Neodiprion lecontei: one gene and its partner. The protein of the gene in region 1 interacts with the protein of each later gene in a pairwise test. Links are inferred from orthologs where the notes say so. Each region holds a gene or a part of one and is shown on either strand. Other genes may lie near its edges.

Region 1 (16,340 bases):
GACCGAAAAATCTTCCGTCTCAGAATTGATTTGTATGACCCTTTCCCGAACAATTGTACCCCCAGGAACTCAGAAAACGCAGCGAAAAGAGCGTGGGACCAACAGGAGAGAAATGGCGAGCGAAAAAGCACCAGCTGAAAAATGTCGAAAACACAGGTTCTCGTTTTTTGGCTGTAACTTTTGATCCGTTGATAGCAGCCCATTGAGATTGCGCCCAATCGATTTCCCTCGCAGAAATACGTCGGACTAGTGCCAGAGAGAATTCATTCCAGCACTTTTCAAAATCGCGAAAATTTTCGCCAAATATACAAAGGGGTTGACCTTCCTTTTTTTTTGACCGAAAAATCTTTCGTCTCAGAATTGATTTGTATGACCCTCTCCCGACCAATTGGACCCCCAGGAACTCAGAAAACGCAGCGAAAAGAGCGTGGGACCAACAGGAGAAAAAGGGCGAGCGAAAAAGCACCGGCTGAAAACGTCGAAAACACGGGTTCTCGTTTTTTGGCTGTAACTTTTGATCCGTTGATCGCAGCCTAACGGGACTGCGCCCGATCGATTTCTCTCGCAAATTTACGTCGGACTAGTGCCAGAAAGAATTTATTCCAGCACTTTTCAAAATCGCGAAAATTTTCGCCAAAAATACAAAGGGGTTAACCTTCCTTTTTTTTTGACCGAAAAATCTTCCGTCTCAGAATTGATTTGTATGACCCTTCCCCGACCAATTGTACCCCCAGGAACACAGAAAACGCAGCGAAAAGAGCGTGGGACCAACAGGAGAGAAATGGCGAGCGAAAAAGCACCAGCTGAAAAATGTCGAATACACAGGTTCTCGTTTTTTGGCTGTAACTTTTCATCCGTTGATCGCAGCCCATTGGAACTGCGCCCAATCGATTTCTCTCGCAGAATTACGTCGGACTAGTGCCAGACAGAATTTATTCCAGCACTATTCAAAATCGCGAAAATTTTCGCCAAAATACAAAGGGGTTAACCTTCCTTTTTTTTTGACCGGAAAATCTCCCGTTGCAGAATTGATTTGTATGACCCTATCCCGACCAATTGGACCCCCAGGAACTCAGAAAACGCAGCGAAAAGAGCGTGGGATCAACAGGAGAGGAATGGCGAGCGAAAACCACCAGCTGAAAAATGTCGAAAACACAGGTTCTCGTTTTTTGGCTGTAACTTTTGATCTGTTGATCACAGCCTATTAAGACTGCGCCCAATCGATTTCTCTCGCAAAATTACGTCGGAGTAGTGCCAGAAAGAATTTATTCCAGCACTTTTCAAAATCGCGAAAATTTTCGCCAAAAATACAAAGGGGTTAACCTTCCTTTTTTTTTGACCGAAAAATCTTCCGTCTCAGAATTGATTTGTATGACCCTTTCCCGAACAATTGTACCCCCAGGAACTCAGAAAACGCAGCGAAAAGAGCGTGGGACCAACAGGAGAGAAATGGCGAGCGAAAAAGCACCAGCTGAAAAATGTCGAAAACACAGGTTCTCGTTTTTTGGCTGTAACTTTTCATCCGTTGATCGCAGCCTATTGGGACTGCGCCCAATCGATTGCTTTCGCAAAATTACGTCGGACTAGTGCCAGAAAGAATTTATTCCGGCCTTTTTCAAAATCGCGAAAATTTTCGCCAAAAATACAAAGGGGTCAACCTTCCTTTTTTTTTTGACCGAAAAATCTTCCGTCTCAGAATTGATTTTTATGACTCTTTCCCGACCAATTGCACCCACAAGAACTCAGAAAACGCAGCGAAACGAGCGTGGGACCAACAGGAGAGAAATGGCCAGCGAAAAAGCACCAGCTGAAAAATGTCGAAAACACAGGTTCTCGTTTTTTGGCTGTAACTTTTGATCCGTTGATCGCAGCCCATTGGAACTGCGCCCAATCGATTTCTCTCGCAGAATTACGTCGGACTAGTGCCAGACAGAATTTATTCCAGCACTTTTCAAAATCGCGAAAATTTTCGCCAAAATACAAAGGGGTTAACCTTCCTTTTTTTTTGACCGGAAAATCTCCCGTTGCAGAATTGATTTGTATGACCCTCTCCCGACCAATTGGACCCCCAGGAACTCAGAAAACGCAGCGAAAAGAGCATGGGATCAACAGGAGAGGAATGGCGAGCGAAAACCACCAGCTGAAAAATGTCGAAAACACAGGTTCTCGTTTTTTGGCTGTAACTTTTGATCCGTTGATCACAGCCTATTAAGACTGCGCCCAATCGATTTCTCTCGCAAAATTACGTCGGACTAGTGCCAGAAAGAATTTATTCCGGCCTTTTCCAAAATCGCGAAAATTTTCGCCAAAAATACAAAGGGGTTATAAACCTTTCTTTTTTTTTGATCGAAGAATCTTCCGTCTCAGAATTGATTTGTAAGACTCTTTCCCGACCAATTGGACCCCCAGGAACTCAGAAAACGCAGCGAAAAGAGCGTGGGACCAACAGGAGAGCAAAGACGAGCGATATTTATCATTTATTCATGATCAATACGTGATGCATACTATAAATTTTATAATTGTCTAGGAAACATACTAGATTATTCACAATAATCGGCTATAATATGACAATAAAAGAATTGTTCGTTTCGATATGGGATTTAATTCTACATGCAGTCCATATATTTCATAACATCAATATTCAGAATTAGGAGTAGGAGTAGGAGTAGGATCAGAAGTAGGAGTAGGAGTAGGAGTTAGAGTAGGAGTAGTAGTAGGTGAAGAAGTTGGAGTAGTGGGAGTTGGAGTAGGAGTTGGAGTTAACGTAGAAGTAGGAGCAGTAGAAGTAAGAGTAGTAGTAGTAGGAGTAGGGTAGGGTAGGGTAGGGTAGGGTAGGGTAGGGCAGAGGGTAGGGGGTAGGGGGTAGGGTTGCCCCCATCACCACCCCACCACAGCTTTACCCCACCACCCCATCACTCCACTACCCCAACACCCCAACAACCCATGATCACACCACCCCAACACCTCACCACCATCGCACTACCTTCAATCACCTTTGACGACCTCCGTCCTTTTTGTCGCCCTCGATCAGCCGCAAACACTTCTTACCGCCTTCAACCACCTCCAGCGACCACCGCTGACCACCTCGGGTTATGCCTTGAATAGTAATAAATATTTTCAGTATAAGAACACGTCAAAAATATTGTGTGAGGATTTATATAATTATTTATTAAATTAATAAAATAATAAATTTTATCAGCGCACTTATAGCTACTGAATTTGTGCTTGAACGAAGAAAAATTTAAATGATTTATTGTAAACATGACAAGTTTAAAAAATTTCAGATAAAATATAATCAACCTTGCTACCAAATATTATAAAAATGTTATAAAAATAAAAAACTCACCATTCATAAATCCTCGTCCTTCTCCTCCTTGTCTTCCTCCTGGTCCCGCACGATCACCCGTAACCACCTCTAACCACCTCCGACCACCTCCAACTACCGCCAACCACCTCCAACGACCACCACTGACCACCTCGGGTTATACATCGAATACTAATAAATACTTTAACTATTAGAACACATCAAAAATATTGTGTAAGGATTATTATAACTTTTGTATTGACACATTTCACCAAGAAGATTATGAGAAAATTATAAAAACTTATAGGAATTTTACTATCGCAATGATAGCCACTGAAGTTGGGCTTGCGCGAAAAATGAATTGCAATAATTTATTGTAAGCGTGACAAGATTAAAAATTTTAGTAAAATATAATTACAATTGCCATTAAATAATATAAAAATGTTTTACTCACCGAGTACAAATCCTCGTCCTCCTCTTCCTCATCCTCCTCCTCGTCCTCCTCCTCTACCACCGGCAACCCCCGCCAACTACCGCCAACGACTACCGCTAACCACCTTGGGTTATACCTTCAATATTAATAAATATTTTTCGTGAAATTTAGAACACTTGAAAATATTGTGTACTGATTAAATATAATTTTTCTATTGACACATTATACCAAGAAGATTATGAGAAACTTATCAAAAAGTAAAGAAATTTTACTTGCGCATTGACAGCTACTGAATTTGGACTTGCGCGGAGAATGAATTGAAATAATTTATTGTAAACGTGACAAGTTTACAAAATTTGAGATCAAATATAACTACAATTGCCATTAAATATTATAATAAAGTTAAACTCACCGAGCACAAATCCTCGTCCTCCTCGTCCTCCCCCTCGTCCTCTTCCGAACACTTCCAACGACCACCGCTAACGACCTTGGGTTGTACCTTGAATAGTAATAAATGTTTTCAGTATAAGAACACATCAAAAATATTGTGTAAAGATTAATATAATAAATTAAATAATCCATTGTAGAATGAATTTTATCTACGCATTTATAGCCACTGAATTTGTGCTTGCGCGAAAAATGAATTGAAATAATCTATTGTAAACGTGACAAGTTTAATAAATTTTAGATAAAATGTAATTACAATTGCAATTAAATATTATAAACATGCTAAACTCACCGAGCACAAATTCTTGTCCTTTTCGTCCACCTCTGACCACCTCCAACCACCGCCAACCACTTTGCATTATACCTTGAATAGTAATAAATATTTTCAGTATAAGAACACATAAAAACTTTGAATTGACGTATATTTTCATCATCGATGAACTAAATAACTCATAAAAAAACTTTAAATCACATTCATTTTCGTTCAGAAATTTCTTGGTAAAAATCGTTACCTTTTACGTTTGAGCTCGACAAATAATAGGATATCACGGTTTTTTGGGTCATTTTGGTACATCGATAATAGAATGATGTGCGAATTCAAAATAACTAGTTTTAAAACACTCGCTCTGTAAAGCGCGCTCGGGTTCGAATGCCCAGTGTAACTAGTTTTGTGCTCGTGCGCTCGCTGACTCGTAGTCAGTTTCTCACCAGATGACATAATTGTAGGGGAGACTGGGGCACGATGACTCCATAAAAATTCTGGTATTTGCTTCACAGTATACAGAATGAACACTGTCTTCGTGCATGTGACGCAAACCGAATCTGCCAGTTATATTTTTTCTATATAATGCTACAAATCACGTTCACACATGCATGTAAGTTTAACGCATTGTGATTCTATGACAATAAATTTCGTCAAAAAATACCACAGAACAATCATCTAAGTGCTGACAGATTTGAAATCCTACGCACAGCAATTCTAGCTCCAATTGAACTACGTTATTGTCATATATTCCTATTTATATAGTGCCAACCACTCACCAATTGCAATTTGTTGATCCTGGTCGTTGGTTTTTTTTCCGATTCAAAATGTTATCCGAAGCATACATATTGATTTGATAGTACAAAACATGACGTTTTCAATAATCAAACTTGTAGACTTGAAAATTAGTCCGTAAGGTCAGAAGTCATCAGGTCAAGGACCTGGACAGCCAGGACTACGGAACGCTTGTCCTGGAAGTAGAGTTCCTCCCGGTAGTGGACCAGGAGTGCAGGAACCCTGGAGCGTTTGTCCTCGAAGTCGAGTTTCACCAGGTAGCGGACCTGGAGCGCAGAAACCACGGAGCGCTTGTCCTAGAAGTCAATTTACACCAGGTAGTGGACCATGAGCGCAGGAACCATAGAGCGCTATGAGAAACTGGAGAACTACGGAAAATTAGTCCTGAATGTCAAAAGTCACCAGGTCAAGGACCTGAGCAGCCAGAACTACGCAGCGCTTGTCCTGGAAGTCGAGTTTCTCCAGGTAGCGGACCTTGCGCGCAGGATCCACGGATCTTTTGTCCTGGAAGTCGATTTTCACCAGGTAGCGGACCTGGAGCGCAGAAACTACGGTTCGCTTGTTCTGGAACTCGAATTGCACCAGGAAGCCGACCCGGAGCGCAGGATCCAGGAGGAAGAGAACCCGGTACTCGAAATCTGCGGAGCGCGATTCTCATCCGTCCGCTCTACTGCGCGGTTGTTTCCAGACTGAGGAAATCGGCTAGCTCATTACTATAGATCGATGACGTCAACAGAAAAAAAATTTTCAGTGACGTCACCGTCTGAACGTCCGAACATATGAACATCCAAACTTTGGTTTCGAACTTCAATACTGTGTATGATCTATGATGTATGCGATGTATGATGATGTATGATGTATGATGTACGATGATATGATATGATGTATAATGATCTTAGTTTTCACGTTTCACAGACAAGAAACACGCACTTTATCATTTCCGTCAATTCCAGACTCAAGCGGCTTGGCCCTTCGATGATTAGCCGTTGACTCAAGATATATTCTTCAGTTAACGGGTCAACTAATAACGCTGCCGTTCTACGACAGTTGGATGATAAAAATTTTTGCTCGTACCTTTCAAATTCGTGTTAAAATACACTCGAAGTTTTAAGAACCTTCGTTCTTTCTTTCCCTATAAAAATGAAATAAAAATTGCTGACAATCACCTCTTTAGGTTTTTAAATCAGGATACTGCGTTAAATACTGTCTCATGTACGGGGCATCCAATTTCATCTCGATCAAAATTAGCGCACCCGTGATGTATTAAAGTTACTCTGAATTTTTGTTCCATACGAACACTTTTCGAAAAACATTTCTGCTTCTCTACCCAACGGAGATACTTCAGTTGCGACTAGCTAAAACAGCGTTTCGATTGTATGCCTACGAAAATTAAAGATCGAGAGAGCAAATAAAAAGTTGTTGGAATAATTATGAATTGCCCAGCTGCCCACCGAAACCTGGTCACAAAAATTTACCCAGGGGTATCCGTCTATATTATCTTCAGTCAACGTTCGAACATTTATTTGGACGGCCTCGTAATTTTATGTCGTGATACCCCTGTACACGTAGCGACGCGTGCGGCCGTTGATGAAACTACCAACGCCGACGATAATACGATACCGTAGCGCTGTTGTTCCATCACTGCTATCCGTTTCCAATATCGAATATTCTAGTTTTCTATTTCTTGAATCTCGCGAAAACTTCCAACGTTATTTCTTACGTAGTGAATTAAAATGTATTTTATTTATCGATTCGAATCACGATTTGAACGAATTATTGATGTCAGTGGTTGAAGGCGACATGACTTAGAATATTTTTACTGTGTTTTTCTTTGATTATTTCAGAAAACTATAGATCAGCAAATATCTCTGTGACTTCAAATACGTACCAATTATCTCAACACCTGTGTAAATAATATTTTTTAGTGCCATATATTTACGCTACCGGATGTTTACGTGATCCGTAATCACTGTATCAGGCAGGCGTCGGAAGTTCCGGTTCAAGTTTCGGCTGTTCGCCGTTCGAGAGAGGTCGTCCTTAAAATCTTGTAAAATTACGTTTGTGGCAATAATGCTTGACTTAACAACGTATCTTGATTCGCGCTGATTTTAATCCGAGTAAAATTCCAGCGATAAATCTTGTAGCCGATGAGGGAACCTTGATCACGGTAATTGGAGAATCGGTCAGAAATGTGTCGGGTAACCTGTCATTCGAGTGATATTTGTTTTAGTTTATTGCGTATGTGTGTGACGGTGCTGAGTATTAACGGGTCTCGTCTCATTAATCGCACAATTGCGTATTGTGCGTAAATAAATATTGTGCCGTAAGTGTTTCACTCAGGTTGGATTGAAAAGGCGTCAAACAACGGGTAAAAATTTGTTTTATATTGACCTTGCCAGTGTGAGTTGCGAGAGACGGCTGCCGTGTGATAGCTGAAATATACAGAGCATTAGCAATTGTTGCAAGGCTTTTATTTTACTATTATTTCTATTCTCCTTCTACGTTGTATGTTGTAACATTCCGTTAAGGGTTTCATTCAGGTTGGATTGAAAAGGCTTCGAACAACGGGGGAAAATTCGTTTTATTTTGACCTTTTCAGTGTGAGAGCTGAAATACAGGGCATAAATAATTGTTGCAAGGCTTTCTTTTTTACTATCGTTTCTTATTTCCTTAATCGTTAAATATCTACATTGGCAAGGACACTTTTTTTTACCTCCTCTTACAGCTCCTGTCTCGAATTTTATCACAACCAATCATTCAAGGTGTGTTAATAATTTAAACAAGCAAGTGCAGCTTTGTGCTAATTATAAACTATATAATGGAGGACAGTGATGTCAAGCAGGTTGAAGAATCTGAGCCTAATAACAAATCTCAGAATGACGAAACCTCCGATCAAACAGACGAGGCAAGCGTTGGTTGTGCACATTACAAAAGAAAGTCGAAATTTGTGGTAAGTTTCATTTATTCGTACTTTCTAATTCACATGAACATATTAGTTTTCATCCAGATCCCCCAAAGCGAATAAAGTATGCTGAAAAATTTGCGCATCTGCTTTATAACTTGATATAGCAATTATTCGCCAGTACGATTTACCGTTGAAAATAATGTACTCATATTAATTAAAATGTATACACGTAACACGCGGTAGACTCTCCGTAACTTCCTATATTCTGGAGTTTTAAGCACTAAGCGCAAAGTGCGAGAAATTGTCTTGCTAGCGTCGATTAGACGAGCTTTGTTCTTTTCATAAAATACGCGATAGTTTAACCGCAGGGAATCGTATCTATATGTAGTAGCGATACTTGTAACGAGAAGCTGTCCAAACAAAAAGTTGGCACTTAAGAAGTTACGGAGAGTCCAGCATACGTGCATCTACCTACCTTATCAACGCTTAACCGACTCTCGTGCAAATATGAATTCTTGGTAATAAACACCGCTAGAGCAGCACGTGGAATATACGTGATTTCGATAGCTTTCAAATGCATACAGAGCAGGTTACCAAATGGTATTTGATCAACGACACGTCTACATTCGTCCATTGTTTACTACCTTATATGCTTTTAGAAACCTATAAGAATAACAATGCCATATCTAAAGTAAAAGACGGTAGTCATCGGTCGCTCTAGGCAAGCATGAGGCATTTTAAGATGCTTGATTCAACCGATTGGCATGCATGAGGTCGGAGTTGGTTACGTTAATTTAACGATGAATTTTCAGAAAAAAATTGTTGTATTGCAACTTTACGATTGACTGAAATTTAATAAACCGTAATAAAGCAAGATATACTTATATTTTAGAAACGTGACTTCTTCAAAGCCGTTGAAAAATTGCATAATATCAATTTTAGATCCACAATTTTTGCTAACATTAAAAACTTGAACCTCTTTGGCATTCTTGGAAGTTTAAATTTCTTATTCTTTCAAAGATATTAACTTTTAATATGAGATACATTGTATGAAACTCAATCTGTCCAGAAAAATAAATAAGAATCTTTACTTTTCAAAAATTTAATGTATGGAAAAATTATTAATTCTCGAGAGAATTGCAGATCAGTCAGCCAACCCTGAACCAGAACATTGTGCAGTTGTCACTCTATTATTCTATGAAGGCAATTATTAACCAGTGGTGCTCAAACTGCTGCAACACAATTCAATCTGTTTTGCAGCAGAGAAATACAATTTTCTCAATCCTGTAACTGTTGCAGTGAATTCACTGAAGTCACGACATCCATTTTTCTAGTATTAGCTAATCAAAATATGAAAAGTCAATGGGTTTTCCACAATCTTACGAGTTATTCTTGGTAAAAAGAACAGTACTTTTATTATATTTAGACATTGTCCATACTTGGAAATAATTACTATTTCATTTAGCCTCGTCCCTCTAGTTTGAAGCTTAAAACTCTGTGCTGTGAGTACATGTGTGAACCTTTACAGCGGATCAATAAAATATATATTTATCTCTGTTGCTGAACGTGAGTGACGGTGTACCGCGTGCTTTGTAATCTATAATCGGAAGGCATTTAGAAATAATATGGGTCTTTTTAGCTTATTAATTGAATGTAAATGAAGTTTTGTTAATTTCAATTCAGGATTATTACTTGTCCGTGCCAAATAGACTAATCCTTGATCGAGATAATAAGATAACGAATAACGATAAGTCAATTGATTTGTTTTCATTTTACAGACGCCATGCTGCAACAAGGTTTACACCTGCAGATTTTGTCACGATGAGCAAGAAGCCCATACCGTTAATAGGAAAGAAGTAACGGAGCTCATCTGTGTCCTGTGCGATACTCGCCAACCAGTGCAAGCTACTTGTCAAAAATGCAATTGCAGATTTGGAAAGTACACGTGTCTAGAATGCAACTTGTTCGACGACGAAGATAAAAATCAGTATCACTGCGATGGATGTGGGATTTGCAGGGTCGGAGGACGTGAGAGGTTCTTTCACTGTGCTAAATGCAATATGTGCTTACCGGTGCAGTTGCAGAATGGTCATAAGGTGAATAAAACAAAAATATTACACGACATGAAAAGGTTTTAGCAAAGGATCTTACTTGTTTCTTATTGATACCTCCTCATTCAATTCTGTACTGACGCAGAATACTTAAAAGTAAATATGTATTGCAAATTTTAATTACATTTCAGTGCGTTGAAAATGTTTCGCATGCAAATTGTCCGGTTTGCTTGGAAGACATTCACACAAGTAGAATTCCATGCCACATTCCTGATTGCGGACATCTGTTACACCGTACCTGCTTCGAAGAGCTTCTACATTCTGGCCACTATGCCTGTCCTACCTGCCAGGTATCCCTGCTAGACATGTCGGAACTTTGGAGATTCTTAGACAACGAAGTATCACAGACACCGATGCCTCCTGAGTACAGAGATTACAAGGCCGATATATTGTGCAAGGATTGTCACGAGGTTAGATGTTATTGATTACCTATTGCCAATTGACGATGTATGCTTTTTTTAATTGCGACAAATCTCCCGACAATCAATTTCTCCCATCTCATCAATTTAACGTTCCAGGAGTCCACTGTCAAGTTTCACGTGGTTGGCTTGAAGTGTTTAAACTGCGGAAGTTACAACACATGCAGGATCAAAGGGTCTCCGTGTCCTGGTAAATATTGAATTAACACCATCAAGTTAAAAAAAATTTAATGGAATTATTCTTACACTCGTTCGCTCCTATCAGATCCAGAATCCTTGGATGTTGCAGCTGGTGGAAGTGGTACAGGAGATGAGGAAAGTTCGCAAGACCACGATTCCCCGTAATGATATTGGGTATCAATATTTTTAGATGAAAAGATTCAACTGAAAATTTTCACGATACGGTACGTCAAATTGAAGGCCTACGTTAATTGCACTCTCAACAGTAGGGAAATGTGTGTAATGTGTGTGATTTTATTCGAATAACATTGAATGAATAATTGAATGTAACGGATATTCTGCAAGCCACATGCGGTTGTTAAGTACCTAAATTTCAAACTGTAAAATACACGTATACTCTTATGTATACTATGAACGCTTAGTCTTGCAGCTTACATAATTTAATGCCGGAAAGAGAAATGTTTATCAGATTGTAATCTAAGTCGATTTTCACGATTTGCCTTTTTTTAAAAGCAAGTGGCATAAAATCGAGGAATGCTTGAATTTACGAATAACGATTCATAACACAAAGATTCTCTAGTTTGAAAAACGTATTATTACATTTTGAAACGTACATATTTATCTTTTAGAGCAATTTTTTCAATTAGGAGGCAATTTTCGCTACTTATAATCTACTGTTATTCTATTTTTCATTGATTATCGTGCAGTGCATTTAAGATCTTTTAGAAATACGTACAATAGTAACCACCATTGCGGGTATGTATGAATACCGGAACTAAAATAGTCTAAATGCTTGCTTAGCTTTATTAGAGTTTCTCTTCAATGAATATATGCTGTAGGTAATATCTGTACTACAATTGGTATACCTATACTCAAATTATACTAAGATATGTAGAACCCTGACGAGGCATCGAGGCTTTAAGTTGAATTAGAGATTAATTTTATTAACTAAGAAAGAGCATAGAAACAAATGCTGTTAATAAAATATAATTTCGTCAAACATTTGTCCGAAAGCCGACAATATGTAAATACATATACACTACGATTAAGGCCATAAAATTAGCATGAGTAATTTTCTCATTGATACCAAAAAGACGTAGTTGTTTTCGTTAATGATATATTTTCTCTGCGTATCAAAGCGTTGAAAATGCCGTTAACTATATAAATAACGTTGTTTTGTCTTCAAAACACGTTTTGCTTAATTTTAGTAATCAATTGTTATGCATTCCCTTGGCTTGCCATTCCTAATTCGGAGCATTTGAGCTAAAATCGTGTTTCTTGTTAGTATAATTGAAGGATTTCCGTACACGTGTTATATATCAATATTTTTATTTCTCTAATGTTAGTAAATTGATTTTGAGACATTCCTTTTGGGCATAAACCTATGTTTACACATATAGGGCCAAGCTGACCAGTTATTTTGATCTTTATACAGGTCTTAATCGGTATACAAACAGTTTTTAGTTAGAAAACAAACAATCTTACTACTTTTTACATTCCAAGAAACTAGTAATAATCAAACTATTATTAGGAAATGAAGGTAGCAGCAACTGTACCTCTTAATCAAATCATTATCATGTTTGAAAACCACTATACACTGTGCGTTAAATGTTGAGGTTATTTGGCTGCCCCCGTAATGTTGTTTTCATCCAATTTATGTCACTTATCTTGCGTACAAGAGGCAGCTTGTATTTGAACTCGTTCAACTTACACACCGCAATTTGAATCACCCTCTTCTCCGCCCAGTTGGTTGTTGCATATTGTTGTCCCTTTACAAAATTTTCTTTATTTTCGAAGTGAAAAATCACCGTTTCAGTGATTGTGGAATATTGTCAGGGTAGAAAGATATTATTGTACCACAACGATTTGCCAGAGATTTATTTCTTAAATAGTGCATTTTGTATATGTATAATTGCTGTAAATAAAGATGCGTGATTGTTTATCACGCGAGAAATAAAGTGTGAAATGAGTCTTAAACACATGAGTACAGAGAGATTTATTGTAATGTAATCATGAATTTAGGTTTCTGTACTATAAAAAATTATCAATTTTATATTAGCACGCAGCGAACGTTTTTTAAATAATTAGGCTCTATTTACTTCAGTACTTGTTCAATAGAATTAAGGAAAATAATATTATCTCATTACAATAGGTTTCTCTACTTTATGCACGTAGAAATATTTGATACATGTACCGAATTGGAGACAAGTTGGGCTGCGATGGTACATGTACCTTGGAAAGATATAGTAATATTAATCGGCTGGAAAGGGTTCAATTAATTCGTTGTACCAATGATTATTGGTATCTTTATTGATCTTTTCTCCAATACATCAAGCGTATAAGCTAGGTGTCGTAACATATTGCGTGCGTTGAACTTGTCACGAATATGATCAATTAGTGTGAATTGTTTCGACGCAGTATCACTCCGTACTGAATACAGAGATTCTTAAAACAACTATTCATTATTCCACTTACTCGAAAAACGGTAGTTGATAAAATTCGTAGATATCGTGTATTCGATAATTTGTGTATGTGTGCGTATATTTGTTAGAAACTTTGACATGTGATTTTAAAAACTGAATAAAATGTAGTACTTTGTTCTTACTACTGCAAATTCCACCTCACACTTGCATTACGGATATCCCATGGCTGTTTATCTCATCGGTTTTAACCCTCGCAAATGTAGGTCCGTAAATGTGCTATTTCTGTAAGATCGAAATTTGCTGCTTCAACGTCGGTGATAAAGGCATTTACTATTGTTTCTTTGAGCCGGACAAATTTTGATTTTATTTGATCGGTAGAGAAATGATCCGAAGAACTGCTAAACAAGGTACCTGATGTTTACAAAACCGGTTTCTTTTATTTTGTAATTTGTTGAACAAAGAAAATGAACAAAGAAGATGAATAGGGCCTTTCTCAAAAAATCTTTGTCTCAGATTTGTTTTGTATGATCCTGGCTGGACTGAGCGGACCCCCAGAAACTCAGAAAACGCACCAAAAATGCACCACTATCGTTTTTAGGCTGTAACTTTCGAACCGTTGCTTGCAGCGTTTTTGAAACTTGCCTCGTCGATACCTCGCGCAAAATTACGTCAATGGAGTGTTCGGATGAAGTCATTCCAGCGTTTTTCAAATCGGTAAAATCTCAGATGAAGAACTCCAAAAGCCCCTCCTCGTTTCTATCGGTGTGTGGATTTTCACGCACTTCCAATTGAATCTTTCAATCACTTAATTGTTTGCCGCGTCACAGGAATGTTCCCAAGCGTCGTATGACGTTGTATTTGAGATTTCTGGAGCTACTCGATTTTCGTAACATCAACAGTTATTACGCCAAATTTACTCCTTCGATCGGCCTTTGAATTCCTTCAAGCAACTCGAACGCGATAACGAAAACATCGTGAGATCGAATCAATAACATTCTTTTGTTCGTCTTATGTTATTAGTATATTTCGAGTTTGAACCATTAAGCAACAATTGTGGTACTCCTTTTCCTTCCGAGGTATGAAGTATTGATTGTAGCATTTCAGTTGTTACGATTAATCTATTTACTAATTGCGATCACAGCTCTTGAAAACGCAGCATAATTCTTCGATAATATTTCTGATCCGTATAACAGAACGTTGATAGTTTCACTATCATATCGGATTATTCCAATTCACAGATAGGACGATTCAAAACTTTCAACAGCATCACTGCTATAAATACCTTAATCTGATTTCGTAAATCTCACGTCTGTCAACGTAAATCAAAGTATATTCCATTCTAGATCAATATTAATACATGATTGATACGTATAATATAAAAAATAGTCATAAATTCTCTCGGATAATAAATGGTTCAAAACTCTAAATTAGTTAAATTTATTGCTCAAACAGCCAGCCGCGTGTCACAATAATTCCTACGTCCGCTACAAAATATAGTCACAAAAAATTTCTCCGTTGTGTAAACAAAAATATTTCACGTTATTCACAATCAGAAGTATCGTAGTCACAGGTTATAAATTTATACGACAGTTTCGATCAACAGAGTACGTGAAAATTCGAAAACCACAAAACCTGGTGTTTTTCAGCGTAAGTATATTAATAAAATTATTTGACGAACCGACTGTAAAAAACAATCGAGTCCTTCAAAGCTTTAAGTGGAATCGACGGATCAGCTGCAACTCTCTTTATTTTACTTTTTATTTCTACGAGTAAATCACTCGGAGAACTTATCGCAATATTTTAAGCTGTAGTTCTGTAAATTTAAATTAATATTGAGCAGGATTTCGAGTGAAAAATGATTCTTATATCCGGATACCGGATAATTCATCTCGGAGCCAAACATCATTTTTAACCCTGCAGGCGGCAAGGTGTGCAAGGAAATTTACTTATGTATTCAACGCTCTACACAAGCCTGGCAATCTTATAATAATTGTCTAAAATTAGCTGCGTGGTCCGAGAAGCTGAGCCCACACACCGAATGACGCACGTAGCAATAATTGTATTCGTTTAATTAATACCAAGAAATCATTTGTTCCACATCCCCCTGTCAGTTCACCTGTCAATTAATATTACTTTGCGCATAATCACAACGACGCGGAGCTTGAGAAATTGATTCTGCCATCCGCATAAATTTGCGTTATATGATTCGGCCTGCCCGGGTCTCCGACCTCGTCCGTAATTATATTAATTTGGATTAATTGTAATTGTTCACTTTCAAATCTAGTCTCTAGATTGATACAGATATCAATGCATTACGCAGAACTGTATTTATTGAAGTAAATTGTTTGAGCCGAAACTTTGAGCGGAATAATGTTAGCCGACGATAACTAACGAATAATCAATTTCCGATATCCGAATACGTATTTCGGTTGCGAAAAAAAGTATCACATTTACAGTGCTCCTCGTTATCCTTGATTCGTTCCTTCAGCTTCAAGGTTCCATGGTGTAATGGTTAGCACTCTGGACTCTGAATCCAGCGATCCGAGTTCAAATCTCGGTGGGACCTGATTTTTTTTTTTCTTATCTCACGGTTCTTTTTTTACGTACTATGCGCGAACAGATGAATCAGGTATGTTTATAGTAATGTAAATCTTTATTAAATATAAATATAGAGTAAGGTATATTATTATAGGTACATGATATTTGCGATGCTACTTACCCACCTAGTTTTTGGTAATAATACAGTTAGTCGCTAAAATAATGTCTAACTCAGTCAACGGGTATCAAATTCACTCACCAGATAGTCAAGTTCGATGCATGTAAACCCTGTGCCTATGGGCGATTCCTTAAAAATTTGACACACTTTACAGTATCTGCTGTATAAATTGATCACGCAGTGTTGTGCAGCCAAGCCGAGGCAGTTTAGAACCAAATGCATCGAACGATTAGAGGCCATTTAAAGTATGCTGGAATTACGAAGATGTCAATCCCCCACACCGCACACATGAAATCACAGTTAATGGTTCTCTACACGACTCTGTGAATGATATTTTCAAACCAA
Region 2 (16,371 bases), on another chromosome or scaffold:
AATTCTCAAGGGCAAAGTCGTGCTGAAATTTTTCACTCGGATGTGTCGTAAGTCGCCCGCAATTTTTCGCATAATGTGAATAAAGAGACATCCACGTACATTCGGGCGTACACGAGCGTATTAGCTGATTCCGAATGTCTGGTAAGTGTAAGTTTCTAATTACCCAGCTTGGAACAATCTCGTGTAATTAGTGAGGCATGACTGGTTCGTATTTCAGGTCCTGTAATCTACGGTAGCAGTTCTTATCTGAGTGCGACGATTCCGCCTGAAATATCGTCTCGCTTTCGGCATACATATACTATAGAGAGCTCTCCGATGCATAGTTGTTTCTTGTGAGTGCCGAGGAGTATGAGGAGTAGGATATCGTCGCCGCTGTAGCCGAGTTGGCTCCAATTTCTGAGCTAGAGTTCGTTTTGGTTCGGTTGATCGCGGACTGCGTGGAAGGACGGCTTCGCTATGACGGACAGTAAGGTCAGTTCGGTACGTACACGCGGCGTTGCGTATTACAATAGCGTTACATAAAAATATGTACCCACCCGTCGGATTATATTACGTGCATAGACATATCGCGGAGAATATTTATGAACCTTATTTTTCAATGAAACTTCTTTATATTTTATCTATGCAACGTATGAAGCTGAAGCTATATAGCAGCCAAATGTATCATACTCTTTGAAAATAGAAAAATGTAGTTCAGTTTTATCCTCATAATTCTATAAAAATATTGAGGGTTCAATGTGTTGCACAAAATTTTAATTTTCCGACTTCGCTGCATTATTCAAACGAACGTTTGAAAGTTTGGCTCCTAATTCTGACTGCTAGCTTCAGCCTCCTGTGCTACGTCAGGATCGCGCAGCGGTATTTTATAGCAGTATAGAGAATTATACCTTGACACGAGTGAACTTTGCACACAGCTTTAACTTTTATATGCAGACGTCCGTTCAATAGTATTCCAGTGATAGTATATTTATACCCCATAATTATTGGTATTGGCGGAGTTTAATTTTAAAATCGGCATTGTCCTTCGGGTCTCGGTTCTTTTTTTTTCTTTCAAGTAATCAGTGATACGGGATTGCTGGTGAAACCCGGGAATTTATTTGTGATAGTTGTAGAAATTTAACGAGATCGAAATTTCGTAGTGATGGCAAAATGGTGATGGTGATCTACAAGGAAAAGCAACGATCTTATAACTTTAGAATGACTTTTAATTATGTTAGTTGGCAAAATATGCGTACATTGTCTTGCTCAAGAAAGAGCTAGAACTCACAGCAAATAAAACTAACAATAAATTGGACAGTGCAAGTCAGGATGCTCAGAGAGAGAGAGAGAGAGAGAGAGAGAGAGAGAGAGAGAGAGAGAGAGAGAGAGAGAGAGAGAGAGAGAGAGAGAGAGAGAGAGAGAGAGAGAGAGAGAGAGAGAGAGAGAGAGAGAGAGAGAGAGAGTTCGTCGAAGGGCAGGTCATTGCACCTTCTGAAACATAATATTACGTATAGTTACTAATTTCGAACAGTGAATCAATGGATAACCTAATATTTATTCCAAAGATTTCAAACATTAACTCACTTCTGTCATCTTTTATAATCCTGATTGTTCTTACCGATAATTTCATAAAATGTATTATACATACGTAAAAGGTAGAAATTTGAGAAGCCGGATTTTTTTTGCTTGTTTCCGTATATACCTTAAAAATGAAAAAATGCATAATTTCAAACTTTATTCTTCGAGTTTTTTTTTTATCTTCAACTAAAATTAGATTTATAATTTCTATATTTTACATACAGTAAGTGCGTTAAAAATATCGTACCAAGTTCTGTATATTAGATAACATTACACTTGTATCTTCACATAATCACAAGCTGTGGGGTCTGTAATTACGTTATTTCAACGTGGTACCTATACAATATTGCAGCCAGAGCTGTAACATAGTTGTTGCACAAACTTGTAGCTTGCCGCATACACGCGACACATATGTTACATGTATTACGCAATGTGAGAAGGTCATTGTAAAACCTGTATCCATTCATGTTACGTCAGATGCGTCGAAAATTTCTGTTGAATATCGCAAGTCTTTGGAAGTTTACAGATATTGAGACAGAGATGTAGGCTAATGGCATCGTTTAGTCCAAGTATTTAGACAAACAAATTTCGTTTTTCTTCAAACATTATTTCGACCAAATCTTCGTCGTATCGTATCGATCATATCATAATGACGATGGATTACACGTCCAACATTCGTCTGTTAGTTGATTAATGGAAATCCTGAGATTTGTCACATTATATCAACGTAGATTCGATTGTTTTAGAAGACTGAGGATTCGTCGTTATCATAATTATCATTGAATCAATGACTACTGGCATGATATTTTTTCATGGCTTTATAGACACGCTTTTGTATTTTCATAGTGGAAACAACGCGGGAAACAAACGTGCTATGGGCTTACCCATGCTTCGATTTTGGGAGTATACGTATTCACGATATCTTATGCGATACTGCACCTTCATTTTCCTAAGAGAAATCCAGCCCCAGAATTCGACCCTGGCCAATTGAAGTTTCTCACCTTTTGGAACTTGGTGAGTTTCAATTCCGTACATTATAACAAAAAGTTATTTTACTCTCGTAAAAGTCGTTTCAACGGCTTGTCGAATAAGTAACAGAATGAATATCACTGATGGCGTTGTCGTTCCTAAGTATAAAAAAATATGGTATCGCAGAAGGCTAATTTTAAATTAGAAATGTATTTTCAACGATACGTCTTAAGTCATAATTATTTATTGCGGTCTGTGTAATTGTGTAATCAGTTACTGAATTCCCAATACGGGCTGTTATCTGCAAAACGGGCTTCGACCACCAATTGAATAGTGCCTAGAGTTATTCGCATCTCAGGCTGTTTATTTTGCAACTGAAAATTTAGTCTATCGCCCCAAAATTATCCGAAATCTATAATAAAATGAAAAAAAAGCACGGCAGACATTACAATGATGTGCTGTTTTTTCTGCTGTGGGTGAATTGCACATTATCAATGCTTGGAATGTTCCTCGAATTATTACGTAACTTTATGGTATCGGTTAAGCAATGAGCAGTTAAATAAGATAGATAGATTTCACCGGGGTCAAGTAGTATCTTGAATTGTTTGATTACTCGTTATCTTTCCCGTTTTCTCTCACACCGTGTGTAAACGGAATGATTTCATACGCTAATACTATATAATTAACGCTTATCCTGTCACATAGTTTTCAGTATACGTTTACTGTCACATGGGGTGTTTCGTTTCCTACTCTTATTTTGGCTATTTTAATTGCTCAGAAAATTCTGAGGAAATTCATGCATGTTCTTTGAGATGTCTAATTGAAGATCCAATAGTTTGATCACTTAATTATTCATTTGGGAGAAAACAGCGGGCCTTCTAGTTTACAAAATATACACATAACAAGAAATCACGCGAGCACGAAAGACCCTATGTGACAGGGTAAAGGTTAAAAATGGAACTAACAATTTCCATATAAATATCTAAAGAGATATATCCTTGGTTTGAGAAATAATTTATATTTATGTTTGTTCTGGTCTTTAAATAAACTTGCATATCCAGTGGATTAAAATTTTTAAATAACTCCATACAACCTTGACTCAATGCAACCTGTTACGATTTTCTATTATACCCGGGTAATAATATTGCAAACATGACAAGCTATATTGCATTTGTTGAAAGTGCGAGTTGAAAATAAAATTAATACTTTTATTCTTAATAAAAGCTGTACTTGGAATTACGTGTAAACAATAATCGTAGTAGAAGTTGCAAAGTATATATATAGTCATAGTGTTCTTTACGTGTTTCAAAAAAGTCTTCACCTACAGCAACTTTAGTCGACCTTCAATCGCATAACGTCCAATTACTCAAATTGATGTAATTCAATTCTACAATGCATGGGTGGATCAAAACTTATGACTCCAACGAATCATCATTAAACTTTGACCGAGACAACGAGATCGCAACCCTTAAAATTTGATGCGAATTACGAACAGTTTATTCATCACACAGATTTTCTGTTATTAACCGAACCGATTAATCCGTGTATATATTTTTCCATTCAAAAATTAACAACATTCCTTCCGAATGCAGCTAATAACGATAATTCTTAACAAAGTTTGAAGTGACGTAGATATATTTTACTTATGTTGGATGTTTTCTCGATCTTATCATCAATGTAGGTTCAGGGTTCTCGGTGTCAAACGAAAAGTCAAAGGATTTTGACGCTTCTGTCCCTCCTTAGAAAAGACTTTAATGTTTATTCATGTGTTAGTAATCAAATATAGTACACAGAAGCCATATAACGTAGATAAAAAGAGAGAACCTACAATCAAATACTAGTGGACCTCATATAAGAGGTGAGCTTTCGCAAGGAAGACAGCCGAAACAAACCGCAACAGCGATGTACATTAAGTTTTACAATTACATAGCGCTAGTAATATTTGCAAAATGGATCCTCGACCTGACGAGGAGAACTCACCAACTGTAACCCATGGGCTTGTACGAGATTTCGCAGAATGAAAGAGTAATGAAAATAAACGAACATGTATTCTAGTTTATCCGTAAACACTCGACCGTCTCCCAAGAAAATAACGATTAAAGTCACGACACTGCTTCATGAATCTGCTCGTTACGACTTTGAGTCTTTGCGCTTCGTGTTCAAGTACCGACCAATTTGCTTTTTCCATTTCTTCGTCGAGGTATGCTTAACGAATGTTCCTTCCTTATTTTATTGATGAATACAAGGGCGCTATATTGAAATGACAACTTATCATTCCAAAGCAACTGTCCGTTATTCCGAAATACGCCACAGGGTATTAGGTTTAAAAGTAATAGGAAATAACAGACTCGTGAAGCAACGTCGAAACTTTAAACATTAATTTCTCGGAAATGATCGAATGTTTACGAACAAGCCGAAACACGTGTTCATTTATTTTTATTACTCTTTCATTCTGCGAAGTCTCGTGCAGATCCGTGGATCAGGGGTGGATTGGCGGGTTCTTCTCATGAGTCCGTTGCACGTCATCATCTGAATGGTGACAATGGTTACATTAATATCCGACTTTTCGTCAAATAACAGTTGATTTCTAAAAAATAACGAAGCCGGAGGAACCCGATAAAACCATGTAAATAGTCTGTGAGCCTTGGTAAGATTTTAAATTCGGGGAGGTGTGGATTGCATTGAATCTCGCGATGTGGAAGTTGACGTGAGGGGAAGCGGTTAGCGTGTAACGCAGCGATTTTCGTTTCCTTATTTTTTCTCCGTCTCCAAGACAGATCACCGAAAAGATATGTAAACAAAGTTCTTGTCGTTAGAAAAGTCCGTGGAAACCGGAAAAATCCAAATCCTCTTCCGTCGTAAGTCAGACCCTATGAAAAGTCAGAAACTATGCTTATCCCGTTCCCGATGTTCAATTTACGAGCTCAAAGACACTCTCCGTATCTCGCGTCTAATTTCAAGCGATTCCCAAATCAACAATGCGTCGCGAGGCTGCAGCGGAGTGCGTCAAACGCAAAGATCATGTAAATACTCCGCATACACGTGCCGCGTCCGACTCCCGTTGAAGCGCGCGTGCGTTCGCTTCGCAGCGGGTTGAGTTGTAGTTCGACTTTCCCGTTCTCTCATCCATCCAGTCTCTCTCTGTATGTGCATACATTCAGTGCGGAGCTGGCCATCGTCAGCAGTCGTGCGCCGTGCGAGTCACTTTCGTCTTGGGTAAATATTTCGAGGTTATACAACACTGCGGGACTCAGCACGGAGTCGGAAATCTAGCACACCTAGTAAATTGGTGAATTAGACTCTTACCGACCGAACCTCCGTGCGTATTTCGATATCTGTATACTACTATTCGTGACATTCCAAGTTCAAGGTATACATGCCATACGTATTATGTGTATTTGGTCTCGGAAAACGATTCGAACTTCGAGTATTGATAGATTCGATCGTCGAATGAACGGTACAGTTATATTCATTTCGCATCGATATTTCGTAGTTTGAGATCATGAAACGTATTCCGAGATCTTTGGATATGTTTTGACTCGGTAGTCACGTTCACACGTGGAGATTTATAACCTTTTCGGCAGGCTGTAATTTTGCCATCGGCGACCTAAATTTCACGTATTGGAAAAGAATTCGCGGGTATATTGTAGCAGAGACACTGATTTGACATACCGTTTTGTACAGGTCGTTTCAATGGTTCCTGTAGCGGTAGGCACGATCTTGATCTTGATAATAACAATTTAATATCACTAACTTATATACCGATAGATTCATGAAGTTGAATTATTCATTGGAATCAACGTCACTTTGCCGTCATATACATATCATCATATGTAGATCTATTATCACGGTTCAAACTTCGAGTCTGTTATAATAAACAGTTTACGAATAAATTACGAGGTCGGGATTATAAAGTTCAAAACAATCAATCTTGAGGCAAATTTTATTGGTCTGATAACGGAGTACTTTTTAATTTACTTCACGATTTAATTAATGCTTCTCTTAATATATTTGCACATTCGGTTTTGATTGATTGTTGGTGCATCAAATCATTGCAATATAATTTATATAAATCGCCTCGATCTGTGATGTATGATAGAGTTGATCGCCAGTTGAACGCGGGTCAAAGAAGAGAATAAAAATACAGCAACCTCCTATTTTATATCGCTGTCTTGTTTACAGTCAACTCGTGCCTCTTTACTCGTTGAAATTTTCTTGTGCACGCTCGATTCTCGCTCTGTAATTATAATCTGTTGAAAGTTCGAACCTGCACGGGTGTACAAAATTTTCGGTATTATTTCGGTGGAGGAAACAGAGACTGTGATATTTACAGGCCATTAGACGAATCTGAGATCACAAAAATGGACGCTACGGGAGTCAGGAACAAAAAGCGGGACACCCTGCTGAGAGGAATGCACGCGATTGCCTTCGCGCAATTCTCATTCGCGGTCTATTACGATCACACCTATACAGTCGTCCCTCGACATATCGCCAGGATGCATGATGCCTACGGCGGCAGATTTAAATTTCTTACATTCTGGAACGCGGTTTGTATTTTTCACAATTGAATTTCATAATATCCCTTACCCCGTTCACTTTGAAATGAACACATTAAATCAAAATGCCTTTATTTGAGTAAAGAAATGCTGTTCCGACAATTTTGAGATGTTTCGGACATGTTTCAGAAATTGAGTTTTTTTTTTCTTCGAAATGTGCGTTTTTCTCACAATGTGAGAATAATGTTACTAAATGAATAGAGTTAATCGATTTGTCAGCAAATTTGAGCCCTATTTTATATACTTCTCAATTATTTAATATGCAGTATATACACTACAGTGTACGAAAACGCAAATAGTTAACAACGTACAATCAATAAATTATGAAGCTAAAACTAGCAGCCAAACGTGCTAAACATTGTGGAAACAGAAAAATGCATTTCGGTTTTATCTTAATAATTCTACAAAAGTATTGGACGTTCAAGGCATTTGACAAAATTTTGATTTTAGGACTTCGCTACCTTATTCAAATGAACATTAGAACATTTGGCTGCTAATTTTGGCTGCTTAGTTTCAGCCTCGCAATAAATTGACTAGAGATATTCAGTTTTTATTCGTTGGTCGCTTCACTTTTTTTTGTAAGAGGAAAAAAAAACTTGACGCTATTAGAAGGCTTGTTTGTTGCACATTACAGTGAAAGGTAGCCGCTTGTCTGGAAGGAACATGAATTATGTTATGGTGTAACGGAATGTTCTTTGCGTTATGTAACTACAAGTTTTGAAATTCTTCCATCCGGGATACGGCATACATATTTGAAAATATAATTAAATTATCATCTCTTAATCGGTTTGCATAGAAACTGCATGATCTAATTCCACGAACAGGTCGCACGGAAATTTGATAATAACGAGATATATAATCTACCCGAAATCAAGACTCGAATAATACACGAATCTTTGGTTGATTATATATATATTTTATGTATATTTAATGGTATATAAGTTTTGCCAGTTTTTATGTACTGCTTTTTTGCGGTCACGCTGCAGGTTTTCACTGCCTGCTAGCAGCTGATGGTGATAAAAATTACCGGCGTTCCACACCTTGCTTCGCGGTTTATTGGGAATCTGTCAACAAAATTTTGGAAACTCCCAATTTATTCCGCGCGAATAGCTGCGGGGTTATGAAGCCTGTGTACGGGTCAAGTACAAATTGGATAACGACGCAAAATCAATTACCCGTTGTTCACTGAGTTTCAGCTCTTTATAGCGTGCAGTTCGCGATTTATTATTATACTATAACTTTATTTACAAATATTTTATTTGAATCGAATTTGCCTGCTGGAAATATATCCATGCTGTAACTTATCTTTTTTATATACTATATATTAGGGTGGGCCAAAAAAATCGACTATTTTTTTTCCACTTTGTACTCCGAAAACTTGGTTGGTAGAGACCTCAAAAACAGTCTCTCCAAGTATGAGCTTTTAATTTTAATAGGAAGGTCCTTCGCCTCGCAGTTTTCTATTTTTTTCTTATGGTGAGGAAGAAAAATACATATCTCGGTATCTACTATTTACAAAAAAAAAATGTATATTATATTTTCGTAGGAAATTAAATTCTCTACAAAAAAGGTCTCTTACAATTTTTTTGTATACCTCACTGTTCAGAAGTTATTGAAGGTTAAAGTTTGATCATTTTAAGGTAGATGTCTTTTTTTTTATGAATTTTATAACTCTTCAACAAAACGTCATTATAATACGAGCAACTCATGTTTTCATAGGAAATTGAATTCTCTACAAAAAACGTCTCTTACAATTTTTTTGTATACCTCACTGTTCAGAAGATATTCACCGTCAAACTTCAATACACACTATTTTTACAAATTTGTTTAAAACTGTGAATGTTTGTTAGAAACCAGGAGGCAATTATCCTTTGAATACTGCTTAATTGATATGCCACTTGGCAATGATCATAAAAGTTATAATAAACATATAAAGTTATCATAAATTCAAAGGTTTATACTATATCTGCACTATGATTTTGTCTTGCAATCGATTCAAGTTAATTTTAGGACATCGAAATTATTTGCATCGAAAACTGATATTAGCAAGTCAGGTAGGAAACAAGTATCGAGATATTAAAAACGATCTCATACAATTAGGACTTGTAATATTTAATTGTATTTTAATGACATCGGTTCTATTCTTCTGATCGGAATTGAGTGATATGGGTATAGTAATAAGAACCTACTAGTATTTGGTCTTACACGTTTCACGCTTAGGGTTTGTGAAATTGATATTCTTTGACAGCTACAGGCAGTGATAGTAAAATCACTCGTGTTGTAATTGTGAAGGAAGAACGCGGTTTTGCAATTACTATTTCAGTATGCAATAAAAGCGTTGCATTACCGAATACTTCTTTCACATATATTATGCACAAGTTTTATAAGTTTTCCTGAGACTTCTTCCTGACATTACACGGACACACGAAAGCCAGTTTTACTTCGCGTGCATCGAATTACTTGTTTCTTACAACTCGACTATCATCATCTTACTTGTACATCATACTCGGAAAGTCCATATATACATAGATATATGTATATACATACGTGTAGACAACTTGGGCGGTGAACTGCGGTAAATTATAAAACTGATTATAAGTAATTGAAAAATTGAAGAAGTCGCCTTTTCAAGCTGTATAGGGATATACACGTTTGTGTATCACATTGATAAAAGCATGCCCGCCTCTCCAGGCGCGTGCTCAACTCGATTCAGTAAACGTAATGGGGAAGTAATCTTTCTATCACAGACCGCGCGTCATTTTATTGTAGTTGGACAATACCAGCTTATCAAATTTTGATTCGATTGATATCACGATATATATTGACAAAACGTTCATCCTGATATGTTATACTATATGATCCTAATCCGAGATATTTTGGCAAATTTGAAAACACCGAATTATACATTGCTCTTTGTAGTTAATTTCTGTAACAATCATTCTCTGCGCCCATTGCAATTATTTCAATTTATATATCACATCCAGCTAAACTAGTATACTTAGTTATCCAAGTTCATATTATAGTACTAACCGCACTCTGGTAATTTAATCACGCGTTACTTGACCGCGGCAGGAAATGCACTCGGGTTTCTATTCCAGGCGGGGGCGGTTGAGAACCACATCCTAAATTACAACATTGATATATGATAACCGACATCATTTAAGATGTGCTTGATTCTTTAATTCCTGGCACTCATTATTTATAAAATACATTAATTTACTTGGAAACTTTAGATGTTCATAGGGTAAATAAATCAATATAGTTCAACTTTGTCAAACTTATTTGTTTCTTTAATTTTCTCGGGGATATTAGGTGAATAATCCGTTGTTATTCAATTGATTAAACTCTGTCGATAGAGATCCCTAATACATATATATGTTCGTTGCAAATAAAACTTCATGTTATTAGACATCTCTGTAAATAAACTGGAAGAAGTTGAAAAGCGAATCAGACCCTTCAGTCGAATCTTATCTTTGAATTGAAAAATGATTAGACATAACTAAAAATATTTGAATGTAACCTTGTCGCCGAAAAATGCATTTCAGCTAACTTTAGGCGATGCATTTTCGAAATCGATTTACAAGAAACTTTTCTGATAAAATGTAATTTGAATGTATATTCCAAGATATTTAGTACTCTGAAATATGCCCCTCTAAATATATACGTCTCATTTACAAATCTCATGGAAACCTACTGTTTATGTGCATACTGTCATAATATCGTAGGCGCGTAAGTAATACTGTACCGTATTACATACAATTTGAAGGAAGTTGTGCTCCAACTATACGTGCCATCACGGGTTGATTTTATATCAGATTACTGATAAATCTGCCGACATTCGTTAAAAAAAATAACCAAGTTTTCGATTCGCAGATTTTACAAGCCGTTTTCTTTTTCGTGTGCCTGCTAAACGATTTTGGTGGAAGCAATGAGTTGAGTCCGGCAAAACGGCCAATTTTGCGCCGTGTTAAAGACTTTATTCACGCCAGTTTTGGATTCCCAGTTGCAATGGTGAGTATAATATTCAAAGTTTTCAGCTTATTATTGAGACTAAAAATTTAAATTAACGTCATTTCCTCCTCAAGAATTTTTCTTGCTGTATACCAAATAGTTAACGTTTAATCCGAGCTTGCCATGATCAGTATATGGATAGTGTTATATGTACAACTGGCCATGTGAGCTGTTTGCTAAAAGAGTATAGAGCAGCAGTTACTGGTATGAATTAGATAAATAATTTTCATGTGATGAGATTACTTTTTGCACATGTCTTGCCACAATACATGAAGTACCAAGTTGAACTTATAGGCTTTTGTTTCATTTCATGTATTTCTTCAGTTTGTCGGTGTGACTTTCTGGGCACTCATGTTCGTGGACCGTGAGCTGGTACTACCAGCTGCTGTAGATCCTTATTTTCCTTGGTGGTTAAATCATCTGATGCACACTCTAATCATGGTCACTACTGTTCTTGAAATGATTGTCGCTCCCCGTCAGTATCCTAAACGATTATCTGGTCTTGGAGGCCTACTTATATTTATGGCTTCCTACTTAGTGTGGTACGTCACAGCATAAATAATTGCATTATTTAGAGGAAAAGAGTTTTATGATGTTTTAATGATGAATTATTTCTGCAGGTTGCTTATTATTTATGCAAAGAGCGAAATCTGGGTATATCCTGTCATGGAGGTGCTGTCGTGGCCACAGCGGGTTGGTTTTTTCGTTGTACTTTTCCTATTTACTGCAATTCTGTACATCTTGGGAGAGTACTTGGATCGGCTCATCTGGGGTAACGCTCTATCTCATCCCTGCAAATCTCATTTCAAGTAGCCTTCACAGGAAATGTCAGGAAACTATGCATACTCTTCAATGGCGGTGATTACACATTTGTGCTTTGAATGCACGTCTGCATGTTTAGGAACACGTTCAAAGTTGTCTAAGTTTTGATTTCAAAACTAGTACATTTTATCGATGAACATCTAATCTATGCGTTTTTGTGTTGGAAAATTGAAATTTAATTTTGCAATTCGATAAGTGCGTGTAAAGTGGTCCGAATTTACATGACCAAGGTTTGACCCTAACGCCCGCCGAATTGGTCGCCGATTTATTTCCTACTCCTACTCCACCAAATGCATATTTTCAAGGGGATGTATATTTGATGGAGTAGAAGTAACCTCACTGAAAGTCAGGTCAGGTCCAACGTCACTAACATTTTACAAAACGACTAAATCAGTTCATTTTCAGTTATCAATATATGTTTTAAACATGTATTAATCTTTTACGTTTAAATTAAATTTTGAAGAACCAAATTTATATAAGTGAATTGAATAACTTTGAATAACCTTTTCAAGTTTACTGAACCCATTGTACTTGATTGTATACTTCCAGACTTTTCCTTGGGCTGCTTGATCTAAAATGGTCGTTTTATTGCATTCAAATGAATGTTCCCGTTGCTAATATTAACATTTGTGAAAAAATAACATTTTCCCATACTCTAACTTCTCTCTACTTACAAAACTTCAGTAATTGCAATCTGATATTTTTCAGGACGGGCTAAGAAATCTGTAGGTAAGAGTGCCAAGAAGAAGAAATCAAAATGAAGGGTCAATCTGTTGGTATTATATAGTTTCATTGCTATTACCAATGCATAAATTGTTATATATTTTTGTTTAATTTTTGATCCATATCATTAAAAGATTTTTCATTGTCCTTTCCGCATTTTTCGTAACAGTGCATTTGTTATTACTGTAACATGTCATCACGTTTACGCCGTGATGTAAAATTCAGCATATAAGAATCGTTGATAATTGTTATCTAAGCAATAACGATAAATATAGTTATTATATAGGACAGTTATTGCAGCAATCAGATCTGATCATGAAGCAATTTGTTACATTTTGTAAAAATAAATGGAGATTGTTAAATTGATGAATGAGCTATTTCATAGTACGTCGAGTTTTGTTTGATTGTGAGATCTAGTAAGAATTGTAGTACTTCGTTTACTTACTCGAAAAGGAACAAGAACGTTGTTGCCTTAAAGTATTTTAATGTTTACTAAAATGTGTTCATTAATAATGTTTACATTCATTTCTTGTGCGATAGTGCTTTAATCGTAGTACGGCTTACTTATCTGTGGTTTTACTGTAAATTACTATCCATAGAAAGTGAAAATGTACGTATTTTTTAGCTTCAAGCAATATGATTTCAGATGCATCAAAATATTGCATTGTACAATAGGAACTGTATTCATCTCGAACATTTTACACTGGCTCATTTTAGATAACACTATACTCGAGCAATTCATTGTTTCGAATTGTGAGACATTGAGTAATATAATACACAATGGGATGGGTGGTTTTTTTGCACTTTATTATTGTAAACGGAAAAAATTGAACATGACATTATGATAGTAGCCATGCTATGTATAATAAAACTTAATACTTAAAAAAGCTGATATACTGATTACCTGTACAAGAATTGGAGTCAATCTATAACACAATTATCTATCGAAAACAATATTGATCTCGGATACTTGTTCCGAACAAAGTACGATCAATATTGCTCCAACAAGTTGGAACGTTATGCACTCAGTCAGTCTTGATTTGAGAATAAAAAAAATGTTAAATATGTAAAAAGAATTTGTTTGCCTCCATATTTTGCCAACTTCTGGCATGCATCTTAAATCATACCTTAATTAAATGTCAACAAGATTATGTAAAATGGCGTACGTGGATGCTCGTAATAGATAGCTTACATGAAAGTTGAAAAAAGTAAATTAAGGGCACATCATGATACTATAAATTATAACGAAATATAAGAAGTGTTGAGTACGTACAATTAAATCATCTGATTTCAGATGAATAAATTGTGACGGTTAGTTGTATAATGTTCAGTAATCATGCTTATTGAGTATCACAATTATTTGCTTTACAAAGTTGGTCAATTTCTCGAAATACATTTCCCGACATTGAACAGAGTTAAAATATACTTATTACTTAGCTGGATTTATTTTTTATCCTAATATAATGTTATTACGTTAAAAGAGTTACGTTAAAAGAAGTATAGATCTCAACAGTACTCGGCTTTACCTGAAACATAGCTTAGATTTGTTGAACACGCAAGTACGTATGTTGACTCCACACTACCTGACACTAAACCGGCTTAAAACACATTTCAATTTTCATGTATGACTAAACAACTCTACCTGATGTCAGAAGATTTACGATTAGCTGTTTTGTTGAGTTGTGGGGAAATCTGTGTCCCTTTAGAGCTACAATTTCTACTGTTAATTATTTCATCAATACTTTGCTTTAATTCCTCCATCTCTAAAATATCAAGAGGGAGAGAAGTTTGTGTAGCCATCTCTCTGGCATTGGATTGAATGTTTGCATCATCACTTTGACGCTTTGTTAACTTCGTTTTCGAATCGTCAGATTGTATGAGTCGAGAGAGCTCCGGACAGAAAGATGTCAAACTCGATACCAGGTCACCTTTTCTGTACATATCTTTGAGCTCTACTTCCATGTCTTTTACTTTCAGTTCTTTACGTCGACCACTACTGTCATGAATATAGCTCTTTGTACTATTGTTACTTGACTTACTTTTACTTCGCTCGGGAGGTTCTTCAACAGATATCATTTTCGTATTTTCTTCAGCATGGCTATCTTCGCTCTCACTGTCCTGCTCTTCTTTATCCACATTGCAGGCTTCCACATCGATGTCTTTACGTGGATTAATACGCGAACCTTTCTCTTCACTGCTCAAGTTTTCGTCACTCTCACTTTGTCCTGGGAATAAAAACGGCAATATCATGCCTGCGTTTTTACCATCTAGCATTTTTGAATTTATGGCTTGCCCATCCAGGCCAGCACTGGCAGATCTTCTTTTCATGTTTGGCATTTGTAAGGGCGGAATGTTGGGATTCCCTCCAATAGTCAAAGCTGAAAGAATCTGGGCTCCCAGTTCGCTCTCCTGTGATGTTGTACTACCTCTTCGAAAAAGTGGTTTAACTTTTCCAGATCTTGTCTTGTTGAAATCGCGCCTCCTACGTTTTCCTCGCCTGCTACGAGAATTACCAGGTAACGTAGTGGAAGCTACTTTTCTAGTTGTCTTAAGTTCTGCTATTTGTACAGAGATTTGGGAATCCAATGAATTTCTTCGGGACTCTACAGACACACGACGAACGCTAAAACTAATTTCTGAGTCAACGGAATTCCGTCGGTTGCTCGATACAGATCCTGTTGTTACACCAACTAAAGCACCCCTTCTTGTCACCAGCTTTGGTAATGCAGCTGCCCACGTTGAACTGAAGTCTTGAGAGGCTACTGAATTTAGTTCAAAATTTAGACCAACTGGATCTTCATGTGTGTTGTGGAAGCTTATAGATAATCGTCCAGCATTTTTAAATGTATTTCTCTTTTCATAGGCTTGAGCAATTGCTTTGTACTTTTTTGGTATAATTTGTTCTTCTGCCTCACAGTTGAAAGTTCTGTAATGATGAACAGATTCGAAGTAAGTAAATCAATATTCTTACGTAATCTGTGAAAGTGCATACTGGTGAAGAATTCTCAAGAACTCTTGTCATTCATTCGAAATGAATTTACTTTATCAACCTTCAACATAAAACTTAGTATTTGCACAATATCAATTTACTTATAGCTGCCATGTCTTGGGGAATTTGTTCTCACCGTCTAAGAAATCTTTTCCAGGTATCCACAGTTGATCCCGTCCAAACCCAAGAAGACATTAAAACACCAGCAAAGAATGGCGATAATAAATGTAATTGAAGCTTGGCCGCGCTGGGTCTTGATGTCATTTTACATTCTGATACTCCTGCAGTATATTTCGTTGTAATAGTGCAGCTAAGCATAAAATTGGTATTCATTTAAAAAATTATACATTTACTATTGTCCAGTATTTTGTAGCAATATAGTGATAGTGGTCATACAAAAGTACTCTTTAAAAACAATTATTAACAAAAAATTCACAATAATTATGCATAACCAAACGCTTACATCATATAATCTCGGAAGCTTTGTTTCCATTCCCACGAGTGTTGGAATTCATGGATGTGACAATAAAATGTTACTATTACTGCCACAAAGGTAAATATCGAAAATAATCCCAATCTCACAATTGTTTCTCGAATTTTGGAGCTAGCTCGCTTAGATATTACTTCCTGACTGCTTATCTTCAGATGAATTAACGTTATCAATCCTGAAACAGGAGAAACTTTTGAGAAACTGATTTTTCGAATCAATTAGAAAATTAGTTTATCCAAGTTGTAGAATCATCA

What was found.
Region 2: the proteins of RING finger and CHY zinc finger domain-containing protein 1 (region 1) and androgen-induced gene 1 protein interact in binary tests that used the Homo sapiens proteins (3 or more experiments, as listed by UniProt). The link is inferred for Neodiprion lecontei from reciprocal best matches to the Homo sapiens genes RCHY1 and AIG1.

The regions. Positions count from the first base shown.
Region 1 is NC_060264.1:7,537,729-7,554,068, reverse strand, and holds RING finger and CHY zinc finger domain-containing protein 1, read left to right. Parts: upstream 1-7,174; 5' UTR 7,175-7,408; exon of another isoform or gene 7,409-7,609; intron 7,610-7,966; 5' UTR 7,967-8,059; coding exon 8,060-8,191; intron 8,192-9,924; coding exon 9,925-10,242; intron 10,243-10,388; coding exon 10,389-10,667; intron 10,668-10,775; coding exon 10,776-10,866; intron 10,867-10,941; coding exon 10,942-11,021; 3' UTR 11,022-13,480; downstream 13,481-16,340. UniProt on the Homo sapiens protein: E3 ubiquitin-protein ligase that mediates ubiquitination of target proteins, including p53/TP53, TP73, HDAC1 and CDKN1B. Mediates ubiquitination and degradation of p53/TP53; preferentially acts on tetrameric p53/TP53.
Region 2 is NC_060260.1:28,849,295-28,865,665, forward strand, and holds androgen-induced gene 1 protein, read left to right. Parts: upstream 1-5,594; 5' UTR 5,595-5,671; coding exon 5,672-5,742; exon of another isoform or gene 5,743-5,896; intron 5,897-6,859; coding exon 6,860-7,073; intron 7,074-10,955; coding exon 10,956-11,093; intron 11,094-11,417; coding exon 11,418-11,635; intron 11,636-11,713; coding exon 11,714-11,865; coding exon of another isoform or gene 11,866-11,906; exon of another isoform or gene 11,907-11,951; intron 11,952-12,623; coding exon 12,624-12,676; 3' UTR 12,677-12,785; downstream 12,786-16,371. Other genes in the region: protein smoothened, read right to left, coding at 14,277-15,564, 15,764-15,937, 16,091-16,292. UniProt on the Homo sapiens protein: Hydrolyzes bioactive fatty-acid esters of hydroxy-fatty acids (FAHFAs), but not other major classes of lipids. Show a preference for FAHFAs with branching distal from the carboxylate head group of the lipids.